Linked DNA regions of Tamandua tetradactyla. The protein of the gene in region 1 interacts with the protein of each later gene in a biochemical or structural test. Links are inferred from orthologs where the notes say so. Each region holds a gene or a part of one and is shown on either strand. Other genes may lie near its edges.

Evidence for each region. The genes of interacting proteins can lie anywhere in the genome.
Region 2: the proteins of RAF1 (region 1) and CDC37 form a complex in vitro, tested with the Homo sapiens proteins (2 studies listed by BioGRID, with this or other methods). The link is inferred for Tamandua tetradactyla from reciprocal best matches to the Homo sapiens genes RAF1 and CDC37.
Region 3: the proteins of RAF1 (region 1) and RB1 form a complex in vitro, tested with the Homo sapiens proteins (3 studies listed by BioGRID, with this or other methods). The link is inferred for Tamandua tetradactyla from reciprocal best matches to the Homo sapiens genes RAF1 and RB1.

The regions. Positions count from the first base shown.
Region 1 is NC_135335.1:36,145,588-36,153,496, reverse strand, and holds the start of RAF1 (RAF proto-oncogene serine/threonine-protein kinase), read right to left. Parts: upstream 3,014-7,909; 5' UTR 2,903-3,013; intron 1-2,902. UniProt on the Homo sapiens protein: Serine/threonine-protein kinase that acts as a regulatory link between the membrane-associated Ras GTPases and the MAPK/ERK cascade, and this critical regulatory link functions as a switch determining cell fate decisions including proliferation, differentiation, apoptosis, survival and oncogenic transformation.
Region 2 is NC_135337.1:91,391,076-91,398,262, reverse strand, and holds the start of CDC37 (hsp90 co-chaperone Cdc37), read right to left. Parts: upstream 3,016-7,187; 5' UTR 2,644-3,015; coding exon 2,542-2,643; intron 1-2,541. UniProt on the Homo sapiens protein: Co-chaperone that binds to numerous kinases and promotes their interaction with the Hsp90 complex, resulting in stabilization and promotion of their activity. Inhibits HSP90AA1 ATPase activity.
Region 3 is NC_135330.1:109,981,734-109,988,559, reverse strand, and holds the start of RB1 (retinoblastoma-associated protein), read left to right. Parts: upstream 1-3,811; 5' UTR 3,812-3,998; coding exon 3,999-4,126; intron 4,127-4,391; exon of another isoform or gene 4,392-5,068; intron 5,069-6,826. UniProt on the Homo sapiens protein: Tumor suppressor that is a key regulator of the G1/S transition of the cell cycle. The hypophosphorylated form binds transcription regulators of the E2F family, preventing transcription of E2F-responsive genes.

The sequences.
Region 1 (7,909 bases):
TACACACTCACACAGAGTAAATTATGACTTAAATCCTGAACGAAGCCAATGTTCCTTGACTTTCCAATTAATTTCGTCAAGGTAAGCAATTTTCCAACTACGGTTATTTGTTTTGAAGAAATTACTTCCATGATCTAAAAGCTTTTCAAGTCAAAGCTCAGTACACCATCCCTCTTCCCCCACTCCACTGTTACATTAGTCTACCACCTTTCAAAGGCAATATTTAAAATTCTCATCTGCAAGTCAACGTTAAGGCATGTTGCTTGGCAAACAAGCTCCTCCCAAGAATAGTATTATTGTGTAGGGCCTATTATGTCTCTAACATGCAAATAAAAGTATTCCCTTGTGTAATATTTTCCTATTTTTAGGCTACAGGTCACTAGCAATGTTTTATCTGAAATTAAAATATAGACTCATACATCTACTAACTGGACACTTGAAACAGTAAATGAAGCTATTACTTTTATTTCCTATTTCATAAGTAATCTAGAGCTTCTAGAAAAGTCAAATTTAACATACAAGAAGTATGAAGTCATTTTTTTAATCTTCAGAGCAAACCACCTACATTGGACTTCACAAATGGCATGTTTTAAACTAAAAGCAACAAGGTTCACAGCAATTCTAAGGTACCGGATGTGTAACCATTCTCTATTTCATCTTCTAGATACTTTTTGTCATAAATGACAGGCTTAATCAGCTTTTCACTTAAGTTTTCTTTCTGCTAAATTAAATCCCATAAAATACCCTCAAATATTTCATTCCAGCCTTCTACTTTGAAGACGAAAAGTTTTCCAACTATGGACAAGAGCTTAAGATTACTACGATTTATAATCACAAACGCCACACACCGAATAGATACATTTTCAGAACAGAAACAGTAATAGGTTTGTACTCCCAACTATCCATTGTTCAACTGGGTCAAATGTTTCTGTTGCATTTTAAACAGCTTAGCCCTTGACATGATAAGGGTGACAGCCAGCCAAAGACTTAATGTTCTTCAGTGGTATATAATCACAATCCTTTAAGAAAGATGTGGGAACTACCAGCTGAAGTCTGTTAATATGTTAATAGCAACTTTAGCATAAGAATTAATCACAATAACACAACTATTTTAGGAAAATTATGTTCATAGAGCTTCAGATTTTATATGAGAATTGGAACCAGGATACGAGAAGTGGAACCCGAAGACCCATTTTACAACGTAAAACACATCTATTAAGCTAAAAATAGTCATTTGCATTCTACACTTTTTTGGATGTTATATATAATCTGCCAATTTCTGTATGACTGGAAACATTGTTTATGTTGTGAAACAGCCACTTAAACCTGAGAATTAACAGTGTGTGCGACATTTAAAAATTCACTTTTTTGTGTGTCACGTTAATGAGCAAGCATTAACGTGAGAAAAATGTTTTGCAAAATTCCCTAGGAATATGAGCGCAGTCCATTCACCGTTGCATAAATGCAAAACATTTTATCTAAACCATTTATCAAAAATGCTCTTAACTGGGTTAAACAAAGTAAATCTTTTCAAAAATTACTGTTAGTTTCAAAATCATGAAGGGAGGGGAGAGAAACGAGTTTTCGGTAAGAACAACGAAACAACACCACCAATTTAGAAGAATCCAAATTAAATCAATTAATTGACCGCTACCTCCAATAAAGAAAAACCCTTCCCAATCTAGCAACTTTTCTTTTGGATTCTCAACTCTCACCATTTCTCCCGGCAGACTATTTGCTCCTCCCTAAACTCATCCCAACTCCGGCAGCTTCTATGCCTTTATATCTCAGCTTAGAAAATGCCTTTCCCCTCCTCCTACCTGGTGAGGACTTACTCATCAATCCTTCAAAACTCCGGGCAAAAGTCCCCTGAAGTGTACAAGCTTCCTTAGCTCCCCCAGGCAGAACTAGGTGTTCCAAGTTTCCATAGCATTCGGAAAGCCAAACCTCATCACAAGGCTTTCTTCTCTCGTCTTGGGAGCGCAACGAAAAGGAGACTTCCTCCCTCAGTCATTAGAGTCAAGGCAGGCAGAAATGCTATGTGAATGTGCAAGGAATTCCTTCTCTACTTAGACTGCGTGACCCCCTGGAACCAGATCGCATCTCAAGGAGACAAACGAGATCCTATCATTCTTCCCACCAGAGAACGAATACCAGAGGGCACACCCAGAGTCCTGGAAAAAGAACAATGAATGAACACAGAGCCGCCTCGTCTCTCACGACGTCCAAACTCCTCTTGGTCTCCGGGCATCGACTAGCTCTGCAGATTCTCTGCAGTTACAGAAGTGAACCATCCTGGCGGCTCTTCCTTGGCACAGAAGATAGCCCTGGTTCTCCCTTCCAAAGCATCCCGGGACCAATCCTCAGTCTAAGCATCCCAAACCTTTCATTAATAACCCACAGAGTCCTGAAACCAAGGCGAGGCCCTTCTGTCTTTGTGGTGAGGCACTGACCCATTTCCTTTTCTCTTCCCGGATTCCTTTCGTCTTCCCTAAGAGGGTGTTACTTAGTGATGAACCCGGAGAGAAGGCGAAAGCATAGTCCCCAACTCCGCCGCCAGATATAAAAGAAACAAGTCTGTCCTAATGACAACGATACGGCGAAGCTCTGGGTGGATTTTCCCACGGCCAAAACATGAGGAATGTGCACTGGGCACGTAGGTGGCACTGAAACGTTTCCCCGACACACAACGAAATCTGAGTGGGGATGTGGGAACTCGGGTCGCCGGCCATGACACCGGGCCCCCCACCCGCCCAGCGCCACCCGGGGTGACAGCGGCCTGGCCCGGGCCCTCAGCCCGGCAGCTGCCGGGTCGCTCAGTCAGCGCCGCCCCCGCCCGGCTCCAGGGAAACCCGGCCTCGCTCCCCCGGCGTCCAGGGCCGGGCCAGGCCCGGCCGCCTACCTGAGGGAGACGGGGCGCCCGGGTGTCCCGACGTCCAGCGGCGGCGTCTCGTCCGCTCCTCCTCCCCGCGGTGGGTGAGGGAGCGGGAGGCGGTCACATTCGGCGCGTCCCCAGCCCGGGGGACGGGGCCCCGGGCAGACCCCGCATCGTCCCACTCACGCTCCGCGCCTCAGGGCACACGCCCCAAAGCCCGGCCAAGGGCCGGAGGAGAGCAGAAGGGAAGACGTCCCGCTTTACGCTCGCTCTCGTTTCACTCCCGCCATCTAAAATGGCGGCCACAGTGCCCGCGATGAAGAGACTCTCGGACAGCCCCGGCAAGCGAGCCTTCCGCTCGGTACTCTTCCTCCCGACCTGCGGGGCCTCCGACTCTGCTGCGGCTCCAGCCGCCTGAAGGCCCCACTTAGAGCTTGGCTCCGGCATCGATCGCTGGGCCTGATCTCAAGGCCCGCCCCCTGGGGAAGGGGCGTGGCCTCGAGCTCCCGACTGCTGCAGCCGCCATTTTGGAACCGAGCAGGTTGCCAGGGGAGCGAGGAGCTTTCGAGTGTAGCTCCCGGGGAGAGCCCCAAGGCCTGGATGGGGAGAGAAAGCGGCCTGGCCGAGAATTGCGTGCTTGTCAGCATGTTGAGTCTCAGAGATGACCACATGTACACGTGCAGAGAGGACAGTATCCAGCTATGGTGCCTCCTCTCAACAGTCTCACATCCGATGCCGAATCATGGCTCCGCCACTTACCAGTTGCCTGGGAAAATTCCTAAACCTTTCTGAGCCGCAGTTACCTCAGTTGTAAATGAGGTTCATCCCCACCTCCACCAACTCCCATCAGACTGGCAAAAAGTTAAAGGACTGATATCCAGTTTGGTCCTAGGTATATGCACACCTGTCACGTATCCTCATACAGCAGTGGCAGGAGTGAATAGGGAGGGCAATTTGGGATTATTATTAACATTTTAAATGTAAGCGCCCATGCTCCCGGCAGTTCCATTTATAGGCACTCGTTCTAGAGAAATACGTTCACACTCGCGCAAAATGGTATGTGCAGAGATGTTTATTGCCATATTGTTTGGATTAGAGAAACAATAGAAAAATGTAGATTAAATAGGAAACTGGTTAAATGATGCCACACCCACAGTGTGGAATATCCCAACTGTTTAAAACAATACACTAAATCTATATACTGATAAAAGCAAACAAAAACCCTCCAAGATATGAAGTAAAACAAAAAAAAAAAGGCTTTTATGCAAGCACATGCATACAAAGCTACATGTTACATTCATTCTTTTAACTATTTATTGACAGCCTGTTACATACCACACATAGCGTTTAGGTATTAGGAAATCAACAATAATCAAAATCCCTGTCTCCTAGTAATGGGAAGAAAAAATGTGTAAATTCAGGTAGGAATATGTGCACTACAAGGAAAAATGAAGGAAGGTAAGGAGTTAAGGGCAGTGTGCTGGTTTGAAATGTTGTATGTACCCTAGAAGAGACATGTCTTAATCCTAATCCCATTTTGTGAAGGCAGCTGTGTCTTCTAATCCCTATTCAATTTTGTATGTATGAAACTGTAATTAGATAATCTCCCTGGAAATGTGATTTAATCAAGAGTGGTTGTTAAACTGGATTAGGTTAAGGCGTATCTCCACACATTTGGGTGGGTCTTGATTAGTTTCTGGAGTCCTATAAAAAAGGAAACATTTTGGAGAATGAGAGAGATTTTTGAGAGAGCAGAGAATGACATACCCACCAGAAGCAGAGAGTTTACCAACCAGCTATCTTTGGAGGTGAAGAAGTAAATGCCTCCTGGGGAGCTTCATGAAGCAGGAAGCCAGGAGAAAAAGCTAGCAGATGACACCATGTTCGCCATGTGCCCTTCCAGATGAGAGAGAAACTCTGATTGTGTTCACCATGTGCCTTCTCACTTGAGAGAGAAACCGTGAACTTCATCAGACTTCTTGAACCAAGGTATCTTTCCCTGGATGCCTTTGATTGGACATTTCTATAGGCTTACTTTAACTGGAACATTATCTCAGCCTTAGAACTGTAAACTAGCAACTTATTAAATTCCCCTTTTTAAAAGCCGTTCTGTTTCTGGTATATTGCTTTCCGTAGCTAGCAAATCAGGATAGGCAGGAACATGTGATCCTGCATGAAAATAAAAGCCAGGGGAAAACTGAGGCATGGAATGTGGAGAGAACCCTGAATGGGGTATTTTTTTTCCAATAAGAGTGATAACAATAACTCTTACCTCATAGAATTAAATAAGATTGTGTTGTGTGGAGAGCATTTAGCACACCGCCAGACGGTTGAGACTTCAGTAACATGTAGCCAGCCTGCCTGAGTTCAAATCCGAACACTGCCACTTCCTGATCTGGGACTCGGGGAAGTCACTTAAACCTCTCAGTTTCTCAGTATCCTCATCTGTAACAAAAATGTGATAGTTTTTAAAAGTTGTAAGAATTTAGTGAATTTAAGGTGTAAAGCACTTAGAATAGTGCCTGGCCTGTAGTAGTAACATTAAATACAGTTAACTATAATTAAAGCTATCACTTATCATCACCACCATTGTCATCAGCATCAGCATCATCGGGTGAGGCAGAGTGACAGGGTCACACTTGGCTCATTCCCAGGTCATGCCTTCCTTTAATTTCCTCCAGATGGTATTTTCCAAGCATTTTGCAGCTTAGAAAGCTCAAGAAGACTATGCCTTATTCAGACCTCACAGCTGATCTGGAAAGATGGCTACACCTTCGTTTTTTAGATGAGGGACTAGAGACTCAAAATGTTCAATGACTCAAGCCAGGTCACCCAGTGCAGAATCAGGGAGCTTATTCTGACTGCCAGACCAGCCCTTCCCACCATCCCTGATTTGAAAGCCTGTGGAAGAGATAGAGTTGAATCAGACTTTCCCCCAGCTGTCAGGGAGCTCCCAACCCCTATCATGGGGAGGAAAATGACTCCAGGGCCTCCCCATCCTTTGTGTTAACTCCCCTCACCCTTGTCAGTTCAGCAAACAGCTGATGTTCACCTTTTCTCCCGCTGCCTGCAGGTTGATAAAGGTCATTTCAGCAAAAGCTTCTATGGCCTGAAAAATTGGGAGGCTCCATGTATTCTGTTCTCCTCTTCAGAGATCCCAAAGCATCTGGTAACAGGGATTGCAAACTCAAGTGCCTGCAGGTACTAGGCAGATGAGATGAATGAGTAAAGTGGACATGGGGTGGGGAGCTATGGCCCTTTGGAAATGTAGGTCCCATCTAAAGCAGGCAGCTACCACTCAGCCACCACAATGGTTACCAGAGAGGGCTGCAACCCAGTGGTGGTGGCTCTTAGGGTTTTGTCTTTTTTTTTTTTAGTCAAAAATCAGACTTTTATTTTTTTATTCATTCTATAAATATTTATTGAGCACTGAATTATGTACAGAGTACTATCCTAGGTGCTTGGACACATCATTAAACAAAACAGACAGCAGTACCTGCCCTGAAGGAACACACATTCTAGAAAGAGGAGATATTAAAAAATAATAAAAATCATAATAAATAAGTAAAATATGTAATTTGTGAATAAATGCTTTGGGAAAAAATAAAGCTGGGTGAAGGGGACTGGGAGGGGGCAGGTTACAAAATGAAAGAGGGTGGCCTCACTGAGAGGTGACATTTGAGCAAAGACTCAGAGTGAGCCATGGAGATGTCTGGGGGAAGGGCACTTCAGGCAGAGAGAATAGTTAGTGCTTGTCCGAGGAGCAGCAAGGAGGCCAGTGTGGCTGGGGTGGATCTAGTGAAGAGTGAGAGGTAGAAGATGAGGTCAGAAGGCCAGGACGAAAGATGGTACAGGGTCTTGTAGACTTTTGGAAGAACTCCCTTGTTTTGAAAAGCTTTGGCTTTTACTCTGAGCAATATGAGAGTCATGGGACGCAGCTTTTTAAGTTAAAACACCTGTGTGTGGCTGCTGTACTGAGATCAGACTTAAGAAATCAAGAGTGGAAGTGGGGAAAACAGGAAGTATCAGAAAGTCCAGGCGAGAGGTAGTCACGGTGGCTCAGACCAGTAGAGGTGGTGGAGATGGTGAGAAGTGGTTGGATGCTTGGCTACATTTTGAAGGTTGAGCCAATGATGGTTGATTCTCCAATGGCTTAGAAGTGGATGGGGTGGGAAGAGAGAGGAAGGAGGGGTGAGAGAAACAGAGAAGTCATGGGTGACCGTAAAGTTATATGTTAAAACAAACAAACGAACAAAATACACTGTGAGGGCCTAGGGAGAAGATTCAGCTCTTGGGCCATCACTTCCCAATCTCTGCCCTAAAGACTCATGAGATTTAAAATTAAAATAAAGTCCTTAGCCTTTTTATGGAGCCATGAAAAAGCCAGTGGACGCTGCCATGTTCACGAGGTACCTTCCCAGTTGAGAGAGAAACCTTGAACATCATCGGCCTTCTTGAAACAAGGAACTGAAGTGAAAAAAATTGATGCAATAAACATTCCTTGCACACAGCTTTCAATGTCATTTTTTAACCATTTATACGATGAAGACATTGTATGAGACAATGGGCATGTTATTAAATGTTCAGATTCTTTTCGTGATTCCTTTCTCATTTCCGATGAGTTATGAAGTTTTGCTAGTGAAAGACTGAGAAAAATATGAGGTGTTCAGCCAACTAAATAGAGAAGAGTTCCTGCTTGTCTTTTTAAACATTTTTGCCTTGGCAGAACCCTTTGTCGATATGAAGATGCACTTAATCCATATCTGAAAGCTGCAAAGACTTATCTATAAGGATATGGTGAGTATTCAAAAGCATCTTCAAACCAAGGAAATACAAATTACTTCTTCTGTCTTTAAAGTTACAGCATGTGATTCTGCTGGTACGTGCTACCCCTCAACAAAGAGTCATGAGGGGTTTGTTACCCCTCAACAAAGAGACATTTTCATACTTTATTGTGGATCTTATGAAGTGTCATGTTCATGTTTTCCCCCATGGTGTGGGGGAAATGCCTTAACAGTGCTTTCAGAATATCCA
Region 2 (7,187 bases), on another chromosome or scaffold:
GCTGCTGCCATCCCAGCCAAACCCGGGCCATAGCAGGAAGCAACCACCTGGCCTGTCTCAGCTAGGCAATTGCTGAGCTTTCTGCAGAGTCTGCCGAGCAGCTGCCAGGGAAGACAAAGTTAAATAAAGACCTCCAGGAGGTGGCAGGGGTGGCTGTCCGCCCGGCCTGGGCTTTATAGCTCATGTCTGTGAGAGGCCCGAGCATGCTGGGCCAGGCAGGAACCAAGGCTGCAGAAAGGACCTAACAGATAGGGCTGGGAAGAGTCACTTGCCCCCATGTCCCTTCTGGAAGCTCTAGAATTCTTTTACCGTGAGCATGAATTCCCGAAATAAAGATGAGGCTAACTGCTAAAACGCAGAGTCTTTATTATGTGCCAGATATTATCCCAAGAAAATTTTAGACTTTAAATAACATAAGCCTCACCACAAACCTATGGCCTGGGTACCAGTAATATTCCCAGTTGGGGAAACTAAGGCACAGAGGGTTCAAACAGCTCTTCAGTGGTGCAGAAGGAGCCTCGCTCTGAACCCAGGTGGCCGGGCCTGAGCTCAGAACCAAGCTGCCAGGCAAACTTTCTACTAATCTTACCACCCTCTCTGGAACACTTTCTCTCTACCAGGTCCCAAGCCAAGTTCTTCTGTGGACCCAATCTCGTTCTATTCTTACAACTGTCTCACAGAGGATGGGGTCACATCAACTCAGTTTGCAGGGGCTCAGGGAGGGTCTGCCTCTCGCTCCACTACAGGGTGAGTCGGCAAGCGACTGGAATGGATTTAGAATCCAAGCTTGCCTGTAGCTGCTGTGGGCACTGAGTCCTGCTGCTCCTCTACTCCTCAGCTCCCCACCAAAGCCCCGGGGCCCAGGAGACTTAGGAAAGGGTTGTAGCTCTCAATGGCAACACAGGAAGCAGTTCTGAGCCAGAGAGAAGGGTCTGGAGGGAGGAGGGCGGGCCTCACTCAGCAGGGCAGGACCAAGTGGCTTTCCAAGCAGCAGCAAAGAGTAACCTCTTTATGTTACAGAAATAGGTGTACCTAAGAATATTTAGGGCTTTGCGGAGATCTTAAGTATTTCCTATTACAATGCCACACAGGGTAAAAAACAGAAGCACTAGAACTTTCTTACCATACTTCAGTGGCCTGCCCAGAGGGCACACTACCCAGGAGACTGATGTGTAAAGGACTGGGAGGTTGGAAGGTGGCCTGGGGGCCAGATGTAGAGGCTAATGTAGTATCCCAGAAGGATGGGGAGTGCCCTTCTAGAAGTTTCTGGATAAATGACTGGGAGCTGGCACATACATGGGAGGGAGGAGTGGGAAATTCCTTACTGGAAGGTTCTGAGAGATACGGACCCCAAGCTGAGAGTGTAACAGGCTCAGGTACATTGGTGCAGGTATGTGGGTGCTGCTCCTAACTAGGGGAGCAGATGAGACCCCTACATCTTACAAGGGCTACCCTGCTGCCCGAAAGCACCATGCTGGTGGTAGGACATGGGTCACCCGGACTTGGGATTCTGGGGTCTGGATTTCAGGGTTCCGTTGTGGGCAGGTAGGCAAAAAAAAAAAAAAAAGGGGGGGGTAGGTAGTGAGCTTGGAATCAGGCCAGGAGGGCGTCTGGGTGAGAGCAGGGCCAATTTGGTGGTCAGAGATTTGGCAGATCAGGCTGGGGCTTGGAGTAAGGGGGAGTGAATGTGGAGTCCGTGGGCATGGGTTTGGGTGTGATTTTCCAGGCTCGGCTTGGGGGTAGGCAACAGCAGGGACCTGTACTGCCAAGTTATTGCAGGAAAGAGCTGGGTTGTAGTTACTCTGGAAGCCAAGGGGGTGGGGTTCCCGGTGTAATGAGAAATGGGCTACAGAGTAAATGAGGCTAAAGGAGAGTGGCTAGAATTAGCTCTCCATCAGGGTGGGAACTGGAAGTTTTGAGTCTGGGGGAAAACCTGGTTCCAAAACCGTGATCATAAACAGGACTGGGGATGCCGGCCTACCTAGCGGGTGTGGGGGTACAGGTCTACACTACAGTGAAGGAGTTACTAGGCCTGGGTCAGGGTCCCAAGTCAGGAATGGGCATCTCAGGGTAGGACAAAGTTCCTTGTTCTCTTTGGAGTAAGCAGGCTCTCTTTCTGGATCTGGTTGGGAATCCTCAATCATAAAATGCCAAGAGGCAATCCCAGGACAGAATTAAAGTATGGAGGGTCTAGATTCGGACGCAGAGCTCTGGGTGTAAATATAGAAGGTCCCAGACAGGACTGAGAGTATCTCCAAGGCTCGTCTTGAGGAGTACAGACCCTGGGGAAGGTGTGCTAGGGATTATCAGGAAATCTCACGCAATAATCCGAGGGGGTCCAGCGGCTCGCGGGGGTAAATTGGGAAGGAACTCAGGGTCCTGGAGCTGAATCGAGGGACCCCGGGCGACAGTGAGGGTCCAGACCGTGGAGTGGGAGTCCAGATGTCAATGGCGGGGTCCCTCCCTGGGCGGAATCAGGGGTCAGGGACCCTGGAGGGGGGGCCCCGGCGGAAGGAAGGCGCGGAAGTGCGCGAGCTCTACCTGATGCCGCCAGCGGAAGAGGCTGGCCGTGTCGATGTTGGGGTGGGTTTCGTCCTCATCGTCCGACACCTCGATGTGGTCCCACACGCTGTAGTCCACCATCTTGCCTGGGCGGCCCAGCCCGCTCCGGCTGCGGCGGCGGCGGCGGCGCTGGAGACTCTAGCTGGCGCAGCCCCGCCCCTTCCGCTTCCGCCCAGGCGCGCGCGCGCCCGCCCGCGGTGACGTCACATCCCTAGTAACCGCGAAGGCGGCACTGGCAACTGAGCCAGCCCTTAAAGGGCCCTGCGCACGTGTTCGGTAGTCCGGGAGTCCCCGCGTAGAACACACCTCATCGAGCACCCGGGCTGCCCTGGGCACCTCCTGGGGTCACATGGGCATGAGCTCCCCTTATCTCCAGGCCCCCCTCGGTGGGCCCTTGCGATGGCCACGGGGAGGTGGGGGAGTTGGTGAGGCTGAGGGCGAGGACTGTCTCTTTGGCCAGGCCTCAGTGACATCATCCGGAGCCCCCTGCAGGGGCGGGGCCTCGGCGAGAAGACCCGCCCCTACCCCTTGTGAGGGTTAGCCATCCCTGACCTGGGGAAGGGCGTCTGATCTTAAGGGACCTATCCTGCCAGAGGGGTACCCTTGGGAGGCTCTACGTGGGGGAGAACGATTTGCCCCTGCTCTTGGGGAGGTGGGCGGTGGGAGGGAATGTGGCATTGCCTTGGTGTTTGGGGTTCCCTCGGCTCGGATCACGGCCTCCATCTACCAGATCCCTTTTCTGCCCCCACGTTCTGGCGCACACACCCCCTCTCTGGAATCACCTGGGCCCCCCTAATTCTCCAGCGCGCCCTTCGCGGCGTCTCCCCGTACGACCACTGAGCGTCGCTAATGTCTAGCCAGCGGCGGGGAAGCGTGAAGGGGCGGGTCGGGGGCTTTCCTCGGCATGGTAGTCTGGGGCCGCTCACAGCCCCTCCCCTTTCGTGGGGGGCCCCCTTCCCGGGCCGGCGCTCCCAGGACTGCCGTTACTCTGAGCTTGGTGAAGCCGAGCGCATACTTCTATAAACCCAACCCACGTTTTGATCCCGGCATAAAAGTCCGCGTTGCAGCCTAGGGCCAGGTTTATCCCAGATTAAGGGGCGCTGGGCAGGGGGGCGTTTGAGAGGGGAGAAACTCCACCAACCCGACCAGGGGCGCCTCTTTGCAGACTCCCCGGGGGCGGATTTTTCGGGGGCCTGGAGGGAATGAAGAAAAGGTCTCCAGATGGGGGGTGATTCCCCGGCTCTCGGAGGAGGAGGGACCAGCCAGACAAAAGCGCCCTCTCGCGCGTTCCCCTCGCCCTCCATTCAAGCCCGCGGGTGGGCGCGCGGGGGCGGGGGAGTCCCTCTCTCCTCCCCCTCCCCCTCCAGCCGGGCCAGTCCAGCCTCGCAGCGGCCGTCACGGCCCAGGCACGCGCGCGCACGGACCCACACCACAGCGGGACTCATAATCGCACACACACACACACACGCGCGCGCACATACACAGACACCGGCAAACAAAGGGTCTGGACGCCCCCTTCCCCTCCTGCCCCTAAGCCGGAGAGGGCGAGACACCCCATCCCCAACGCCCCCCAGTTAAGGTAAGCTTCCGGCTACGCGTTGCAGTGGGGAGGGGGTCCTGCGCTCTGGAAGGAAGGGACTGGGACCATTGAGGGGGGGCTTCCTCTGGCCTCCAGAAATGCTGGGGTCCCCGCGTCCACCCTTTGCAGGCTCGGGATGTGCGGGTCGGACCCTGGATGCTGAGGATTCCCAGGTAGAGAAGGTGGGGGGCAGGAGTGGGTCTCTCCCTGACTTCCGAGCTTGGAACTGCCCCGCCCCAGAGAACCAGGTGCCAGGATCCCCAGCTCCCAGAACTAGGGGCAGGGTGCCGGCAGCTCCCCCATCAACGCCCAGCATTTCCTAATCGACTGCCAGCAAAACATCTTCAGCCCTGGAGGCCGAGTGAGAGAAACCATCCCGAGTTGCTTTGCACTCTCCCTCTGTCCCACCCCCACCCCCACCCCCCACCCCCGCCCCATCAGTGCACCCCCGTTGTGTTTCTTGTTCCTGGAGGGGGAGGGGCCGGGAATGCCCCAGCTTCCGCTGCTGCGGTGGGAGCCAAGGAACGGGGATTTCCCTTCCCCTTCCTGAGCCTCAATTCCTTCATCTGCAAAGTGGGTAAAATGACCCGTAGGTAGCTGAGCGAGGGCCAGGTCCTCCTGTGCCCCATCAGGCATTGTCAGCTCATCCCACACCTATTTCTTGAGTGCCTACTGGGCACTGGGCACCTGACAGGTGTGGAGGTCTGCGGCAATAAACAGAACCAGCCAGGCAGGCTGCTAAAGGAAGGAGATCAGTGGGTAAAGGGAGAAGAGCCTGTGGGCAATCTCAGACTGCCAAGAGGAAAATTTGGTCAGGCCTAGAAAGTTGGGAAGTGGAGTGGGGAGGTGGGGATATAGGACTCACATTTAAATAGAATTTCTGGGTCCTGTCTGCCCTCCTTGTGCTCTGAGCTGCAGGATGGTCGGGCTGAGTGCAGAGCCGCCCAATAAATGTTGAATAGATTAAAGGGGGGGGTGTGTTAGACTAAAACTAAATTCGTAGGCTTTAGATCATGAAGCGATGTTATCATGAATCAGTCCAAACCCCATCCCACTTTACATATGAAATGATTAAGTCCCTGAGCCCAGAGAAAGGGGAAAGATGTCACCTAAGGCATCACCCGCAGGGCAATAGGGTGTTGTCCTTCCCATAAAAGTTTACAACCTGAAGGCATGATTGTAAACATCTGGGAAAGGAAGGGGGCAGAGGGTAGCCAGAGCCTGTCCCTCCTCACACTTCCACAGAGACACAGCCCTGTATTCATTCAGTATGTAAGTATTTACTGAGAGCCTACTATATGCCAGGTGCTGGGGAGCCAGCAGTGAACAAAACAAAACACCTGTCCTTGTGGAGCTGACATTTAGTGGAGGAAACAGAAAAGAGGCAACATATACAAACAAATTAATAAATAACAAATTGTTATTAGGATTGTGATGGAAATAGAAGGTTTTATAACAAGAGAGAAAAATTGGGGAGGTGGGCAGCGGACTTCAATTTCGGTATCTGGAAGACCTCTCAGAAGAAAGGAATTACTCTTCACACACACACTCAAACCCACACAAACACAGCCACACTAACAAATACCAGAACCCAGATAACATGAGGGCACATAGCCCAGCAGTGGCTCTGCAGAAATTTGAACCCAAATCTACCCATTGTGTAATGCTGCTTGTCGCTGCATCTGCCTGTATGACCCCACCCCCACCCTACCCCCACCCGTATCCTGGCAAAGTCACAATCACGCAGGCACATCTGACCAAATGCCCATGTAGAACTCCACCTAGGTAGGGTTGCTTTGTCACACACATACACTCCTACAGTATTGTCTGTCTCAACTATGCAACCCTGAGGCTTCTAGAAAGCTCTGCCGGTTCAGTGGCACCTGCACAGCTGTGTCCAAAGTCTCATGTACACGGACATGTGCCGAGCCCTGCTTCAGCTCCAGGCATGGAGGCCTCGGTACTTCTTGCCCCTCTGCAGGACTGGCTCCCAGGGACAGGAAGCCAACAGAGATATTTGTCCTCACTTCTTCTGAGGGACTTGGTGAGTGGGCAGGGGTTGGGGCGTCAGGTGAGGCCAGAGGCTACCAGCCGGGTGGGTGCCGATTGTGCTGACCGGCTAGGAGCAGGTGGGAGAAGCCTCTCTCAGCCTGAGCCGGGTGCCAGCTGTCCAAAGCGACTTGCTCTGCCATCTGGACCCCCTCCCTGGCCAGGCTGCTGCCCGGGGGAGGGGAAGGCAGGCTTGCTTTTTGCTTGGTGTGATCTCTGCAAAAGTGCACGCATGTCTGGGCTGAGCTAGGGCGCGTGTTTCTGTTGCTCTCCCTTGGGCTGTCAAGCCCCCCTGTCTTCCATTCCTTCCTTCCACATCTACAAATCTTTGAGCACCGGCCATGGGCTATGGAGTTTCCCTTGTTCAGAATTCTGAGGACTTTCAAGACGGTGATAGTGGAGATAAACAAAGCACAGGTCATTCCAAGAGTGTGGAACCCTGTACCACTTCACTGGCCGCACACCCATGAAGCCGGCTCTGGACAAAGCCTAGAATAAGAGAGAAAATTCCCCTGCCCTCATGGACCTGAGGGATTGGGCAGTGGAGGAACAGGTCAATGTAAGATGTACCAGGAGTGATGAGAGAGAGAGCTGAGAAGAGAAGTAAAGCTGGGTGACGGGTAGAGAGGGACAGCATGAATGTGTGGGGGGAGTCCATCTCTGGGAAAGCTTCCAGAAGGAGGTGACTTTGAGCAGAGATCTGAAGGAGGTAAAGGAGTCAGGCAGATTCATTCATTCCTTCATGAAATATTTGGTGAGGACATACTGCAAGCCAGCATCGTCCTAGGCTCTAGAGACCCAGCAAGGAAAGAGACCACCAACCCTGCCTTGCACCCTAATCAAAGGACGGGGCATTAATAAATTAAAATAAGTCAATGATTTTGTTTGAATTTATAAGTCTAAAACAAACCAAACAAAAGCAGAATCAGGGGGTCAAGGAGATTGGAGGAGCACAGGATATCGGAGGCTTGTTTTCCTGATAGCAGGAATAGCAAGT
Region 3 (6,826 bases), on another chromosome or scaffold:
TGAAAAAAAAATCAGAGACAGAAAGAAGATTAGAGGTTACCAGGGCAGTGGGAATTGGGAGTTATTGCTTAAAGAGCACAGAGTTTCTCTTTGGGGTGATGAAACGGTTTTGATAATGGATGGTGATGATCATAGCACAACCTGAATATAATTTGTGCTATTGAATTATATGCGTGAAAGCGGTGAAATGGGAATTTTTATGTGGTATAGATGTTAACACAATAAAATTTAAACATTAAAAAAATAAAAAGATATAAGCAAAAAAAAAAAAAAAGCCATTGAGTGATCTCTTAGGACATTGGTGGCCCCTGAAAGAGTGATTTCAGTGGAGAGCTGGTGGTGGCAGTGGGAGAAAGCCAGATTATAGTGAGCTGAGGAATGAGAAAACAGAGAGAACAAATGGGGACTACCCTTTCAAGAAGCTAAAGAAATGGAAATACCCTGATAGCTTGGGGATGCAAAAAAATCTGAAGAAATTTTAGATTACAGGAGACTCAAAAAAAACAAAAAGTATTCTGGTATCATGGAAGAGGCATCATGGAAGAGGTATCATGGAAGAGGCATCTGTAGTTCTCTCTACAGATGGCAAGTCTATGAATGATTGTTTTTTGGTCTGGCGACACTATTCTTAAAGTTACTCTGGAGGTGAGGGAAGATCAGAGAAAACATATTTTAAGAAACTAAGAACATCTAACACTTATTCGGTAATGCAACAAAAAACTGCGGGGGAGATGTGATGATTTTGATTTACTTAATTGCTCCTGCATTGTGTGTAAGGAAAATACACTTAAAAAGTACAAGAGAACACAGTGAAAGGAATCCGTGGTAAAGATACACATCTTTTTGTAAATCGAGAAATGTCTCTTTATCCTAATTGTGGTAAATTCAGATGTTGATAAACTGGGTTTAAATAAAGCAAGTTATATAAAGAGAGCTTACTTCAGTTTCCAGAACATTCCTCACCTCTCCTACCCTCTCTACTGCCCAACACTGAGTTAGGGACTAGGGCTCCAAAGATGCCCAAGATTTGGACTCCATCCTGAAGGGGATCATAGGAGAAGTATTGTCAGTCATGATACTTTCTGCAAATTACGGAAATTTCCAGCTCAGTCTATGGCGGCTCCAGGGTTGGTCAAATCAGAGGTTCACTTATGCCACCAAGGCTCCAGATTCTTTTGATAATCCTACTGCACCATCCTCAGCATTTCTGCCTTATTCTCTGGTCTGCTTGCCTCAGGTCACAGTGGCTGCTGCAGTTTCCAGTGTCATATCCTCATGACAAGAGTTAAGAGGTAGAGGAAGAAATGTCATCCCTGTATTTCATTTAATCAGCCTCCCAACAAACTATCCTTCATCATCCAAAGGCCAAAAACTACATCCTGAGCTTCTATGGTGGCTTGAAGCTGTATTACCCAGAAAAACATGTTCTTAAATTTAATCCATTGTAAATAGGACTTTCTGATAAGTTGAGTTCAGTTAAGGTGTAGCCCATCTCAATCAGGATGGGTCTTAATTCTAATATAGAGGCCTTTATAAGTGGAGTGGAATTCAGACACACACAGAGAAAGCCAGAAAGAAAGCAGCCAGAGGCTGAAATCAAGGGAACTCAGAAGAGAGAGAAGAGACCAGGAGATGCTGCCATGTCTTGCCATGGTGACAAACTAAGGTCCAAAGATTGCCAGCAGCCAGCCCCAGACCACCAGTTTTCAGGGGAAAAGCATCACCTTGATGTCTTGATTTGAACTTTCTTTTAGCTTCAAACCTATGAGTTAGTAAATTTCCATTGTTTAATGAGAACCATTTCATAGTATTTGCTTGGGCAGCCTAGGAAACTAAAACAGCTCCTGTCTAAACCAATCCCAGCCAAGGTGAATGGGGTTTACCATTGTAATAAGATTCACTCTCTAGGGCTGTGGCTGGGCCTGGATCCTTTCTCCTGATAAGCTCTGGCCTCCTAAGACAGGTTTCTAAAGTTAGGTGGGACTGGCTGTTGGGTAGGCCAATACTTGCTAATCTTTTTCACATTCTGCCGTATATAATGATGTGTTAGGGCTCTCTAGGGAAACTGAACCAATAGGAGATATCTGTGCATATGAAATTTTATAAAAGTGTTTCATGCAACTATGGGAATGCAAGAGTCCAAATTCTGTAGGGCAGGCTGTGGGCTGGCAACAACAATGAAGGGGTTCAATGAATTCCAAAGGAGAAGCTGGCTGGCTGGGTGATGTAGAGATAAAAATTCTCTCCTCTGACTGCTGAAATCATCACCTCTCCCTTAGGTCTTCAACTGATTGGCTTCTCTCATTATGGAAGACACTCCCCTTAGTTGATAGTAGAAATAACCAGGTATAGATGCAATTAACTGATTGATGATTTAATAAACCTGCCTCAGGTTTATTAACCAGCCACAAAATGTCCTTACAGTAAGTAACAGTTAGGCCAGTGCTTGCCTGACCAGACAGGGCACCATCACTTGGCCAAGTTGACACATGAACCTAACCATCACACATGATATACATAGAAAATGATAATCCTTGGTATGGCACACTGGATAAATGTATGAAGCTTTCTGCCAGGAACTATCTGAAAATGTAGGCTGCTTCAGATACTGTTCAGCTGTTCCAAGGATGAGGGGATTTACAGTGGAGCACAATTGAACATCATTCACAGCACCTCCAATGGGTAGTTTTGAGCTAGGCAATCAACAGCATCTGCAAGATTGAGAAAAACATGTACTTCAACTAGAAAACGCATTGTTATAAATAAACACCAAGAAACACAAACCATGCAGTTTTCAAGCCAATGTTTGGGAGCCGTAGCCACAACAAACTTTCTGAGGTCTTGATGCCTTTGCACACATCATTTCTTTCTTCTTGGTGTTTTCTTCATTAGCATCACCTAATGGATAAGTGGGTGAATATACTTGGGTTCAAATCTTTCGCCATCCATCAGCTATGTGCCACCTGGCACATTAATGAGCTCCTCTGAGCCTGGTTTCCCATCTGGAAAGTGGAGTAATACTACTACTGATTTTGAAGGGTTGCCTCTGAGGATTAAATAAGATTATCATGGAAAGTGGCTAGCAACGTTACTGGCACACAGCAAGCCCTCATTAAAAAGAAGGTTTATCTATAGAGAGAGAAAGTGAAAGCGAGAAACATACAGTAGTGTGTTCGGCAAATTTTATTCAACTGCCATTTCCCTCTGAAGATCTCGCAGATATGTGGATAGACCCTCCTATTTTTATGCCACTATTAAGACATTTATCACACTATCCTGTTTACTTGTTCTTTACCCACAGACCCTCTGCCTACACTATCCAGGGATTTCCCCCAAAGCCTCTAACTGTCCTACATTTCATATCCTCTAGTGATTAGTGTTCTGTAAGTATCTGTGGAACAGAACAGGAGTTCTTCTTTTGACCCACCCTGCTAACAGACTGGGCAGGCGGGACCTGGTTCCGAGGCCAAAGGGTGCAGAAGCCTGATAACACCGCGCACTCGCGCGTGGACGCCGATCCGGCTCGCAGATAAGAGTTGGGGGCCCAATCTCACCCCCCAGGCTTTCTTCAACGCCCTACTCCGGGCATCCCCAGCCTGGAAAGGGCAGGTAAGGGCAAGAACCAGGGTGCCGCGGCGGCGACCGCCCCTGGGCAGCGCCTCCACAGGCCGGGACTCGCGGCCCACCCCACCAGCGTTCGCGCCCCGCCCCGCTCGCGCTCGCCCCCGCCCGACGCTGGGCGCCCGGGGCCCCGCGAGACGCCGACGGGCCCGAGCGACTCGCGGACGTGACGCCGCGGGCGGAAGTGACGTTTTCCCGCGGTTGGACGCGGGGTTCGGGTGCCGGGCGGGGGAGCGCTCGGCCGGCGTTTCTCGGGGGACGCCCAAATCATTTTGCCACGAGAGCCGAGCGCGGACGGGGCGTACCCCGACGTGTGCGCGCGGCCCCCTGCCCTGCCGTCCTCCACTGCTCGCTGGCTCCCGCCCCAGGAGGGCGTCATGCCTCCCAAAACCCCCCGAAGAGCGGCTGTCGCCGCCGCCGCTGTGGAACCCCCGGCGCCGCTGCCGCCCCCTCCTGAGGAGGTCCCCGAGCAGGACAGCGGCCCCGAGGAGCTGCCTGTGGCCCGGTGAGCGAGCCGAGTCGCCGCCGCCGCCAGCACCCGGGCAGGCGCCGCGGCGTCCTCGCGGGGAGCCCCCGTCCCGCGGGAGAAGGCTAGCTCTCCGCGCCCCTGTGGCCACCGCGGAGTGTCGGAAAGACGCGGCCAGGGGAGCGGGTTCGGGGGGCGCGGGCGGAGTCGCCAGGAAGAGTGTCGGCTCCAGGTTGACAGGTGTCCGGTGGGTGGGGCTCGGGTCCCTGAGCGAACTGACAGGTGCCGGCTTCCCTTCTGCAGGGCGGGGAGATGGCGGGGTTTTGGGAGCCCCTCACGGGCGGGACGACGACCCGGCGGCGTCAGCGGGAAAGGAAGCGGTTTTTCCTCCCCTTGAAAGACGCTGCACCCGGGCGGTAGTTGGACTTTCTGTTTTGGCCCCTGCGATGCTGGTTCCAAGCATTTTCCTCCGGGTGTGCATTGCATTCTAGGAGAGGCGGCAAAAGCCGCGGACGCTGCCGAGACGTTTTTGGACGAGGTTCTTGTTTGGGGTTCGGAGGCGTCAGTAGAGACTGGCAGCGCGGAACTCTTTAGAGGTGGCAAAATCTTTCTGAGCCATTGAGCGCAAGTGCTGAAAAGTTTCTGAACTTTTTCTTTTTTCTCTTTCGGGATAAAATTCTTTTTGAACGTTAGTCTGCTTCCACATACCTCGTTCTGTCTTCCATTTTGCCTTTTTTTTTTTTTTTTTGCCATTTCGGAAACAAGGCTCCGGGCGGCGTCTGCTTCTTTTGGTTGTTTTTGTTTGTTTTTGCTTGCTTTTTTTGTTTATTTTTTGGGACAAAACTGGTGATGTGCTGTGTGCACATGGAACTCTCCCACCCGGAATTAGTAGGGTCTAAATCCAAGGAAGTCTATATATATATATGAAGGAGATATTTATTTGTATTGCAGCATCCTATTTTTCTTGATTGTGTTACATTGGTAAGTAGTTAAATTTGAATAGTATGTACTTGTCCTTATTCCTTTCTATCAGCGCTGGTCCTGCTTTGAGACTGCAGATTCATTGCAGAAGGATCGGACTCCTTTCTCTCTCTCACCACTCCCTCCTCCATTCTTGTCCATCACCAGGTCCCGTGTTACCCACGCTTAATTGTAGGTTTCTTTCCATTCTCTTGCTACCAACACAGTCATGCCAAACTGTGAAAGATTGAGAACGGCTTTTGGAAATGGCCTGTTGAAGATGATAAAAAATTCTTTTATTGAATAGCCTTGATAATGCTTATCTAAGACAGTGACCCACTGTCTTATGGGTCAAGTAAAAAATCATACCCTCCAGGAAAAAAGAACAGGTCTTGGGGGATGTTCTGAGAGATAAATTACCAGTTTCTAATTAACTCTGATGTGTACAATACTTGAAAATTTCCTTTTGGGAAGAACAGTAAATAGCTTCTCTAAAGAATTATCATAGGGTAACCAGAAATATTTGAAGTTTGCGTTATCACCTGAGAAAAGAAGGACTATTTCTTTCATTTCCCCCCTCCCCCCTCCTTTTTTAACACATTTTTTATTTATCTTCAAGTAATGGAAGCACAAAATTCTCCTGTCAAACCCTTTTATTTCAAAACGATACGTGATATATCTGCTCTTATCCATTTTCATGGGTAATCAAAAGCTGTACATTAACTACTTAGCAAGATTATGACCACTGCCAGGCAGTCCGAGGCTGAGAAACTTGATTTGGGATGAATTCAGGGCCCAGTTCCACCTGCATTTCCAATAACAAACGTCCATTTCTGCCTTGAGAAAGAGTTGAGTTCATGTTTCTGTTGCATCATCTCTGGCTTAAGTGATGTGGTTGGAAGGGAATCTGTCTCTAGGAACAGCACGCCACCTTCATTGTTGAGATAACTAAAAGTTAATTATGTTTTGAAGGAAGACTTGGCGGTGTAGAATAGTGGTCTGCAACATGGATTGTGGAGTTAGACTGCTAGGTTCATAATCCTCCCTTACTGGCAGAAACCTTAGGTGAGTGTTTTAACTTCTCTGATTTGGCTTACTCATCTGTAAGACAAGGGTAATAAGAGTAAGAGTACTTACTTAATATGGCTGACGTGGGAATTCAGTGAAACCAGAATGTAAGGTGTTTTGTGCAGGGTTGTAGTAAATACTCAAAAATTATTAGCTATTCCACTTGCAAATATGATTATTAAAAACTAAAATAAAATAAAAATATGTTTATTAAGTTAATGAAAAGGAGTTAGCCTTGATAATGCTTATCTTGGTTAAGGAAGATCAAGGAATAAGGGTTGAAAAAAGTGTATTATTAATCACAAGTAAGAAATGCTACAAGATAGAGGTATGTGAAACATTGATAAGTATGGGCCTTATGTTAATGAAGGCATTGGCATCGAATTGATTCTGTAATGTCATCTGTAGGCTTATCTCTTCTTGCTTTTGTCATTACCTTATTTTCCCAAATAACTTTAGCTATTATCCTTACTTTCCTTCACAAACCTATTTTACTGCTCTGAAGTATAATAGGTTCACTGTGTCAGCACACATTTTTCGTTGTTTGGAAAGACAATGAAAGATAAATATGTTTAAATTTAAAGCATAATTTTTTCAAAGATGAAATTAATATCTTAAAGTACTTAGTAATGCTGTCTTTCAGGATAGTGCTATTATGTGCAAACCTTTGAAACAAATGTTTACTATATCATTTTGACTTATAAGTGTTTG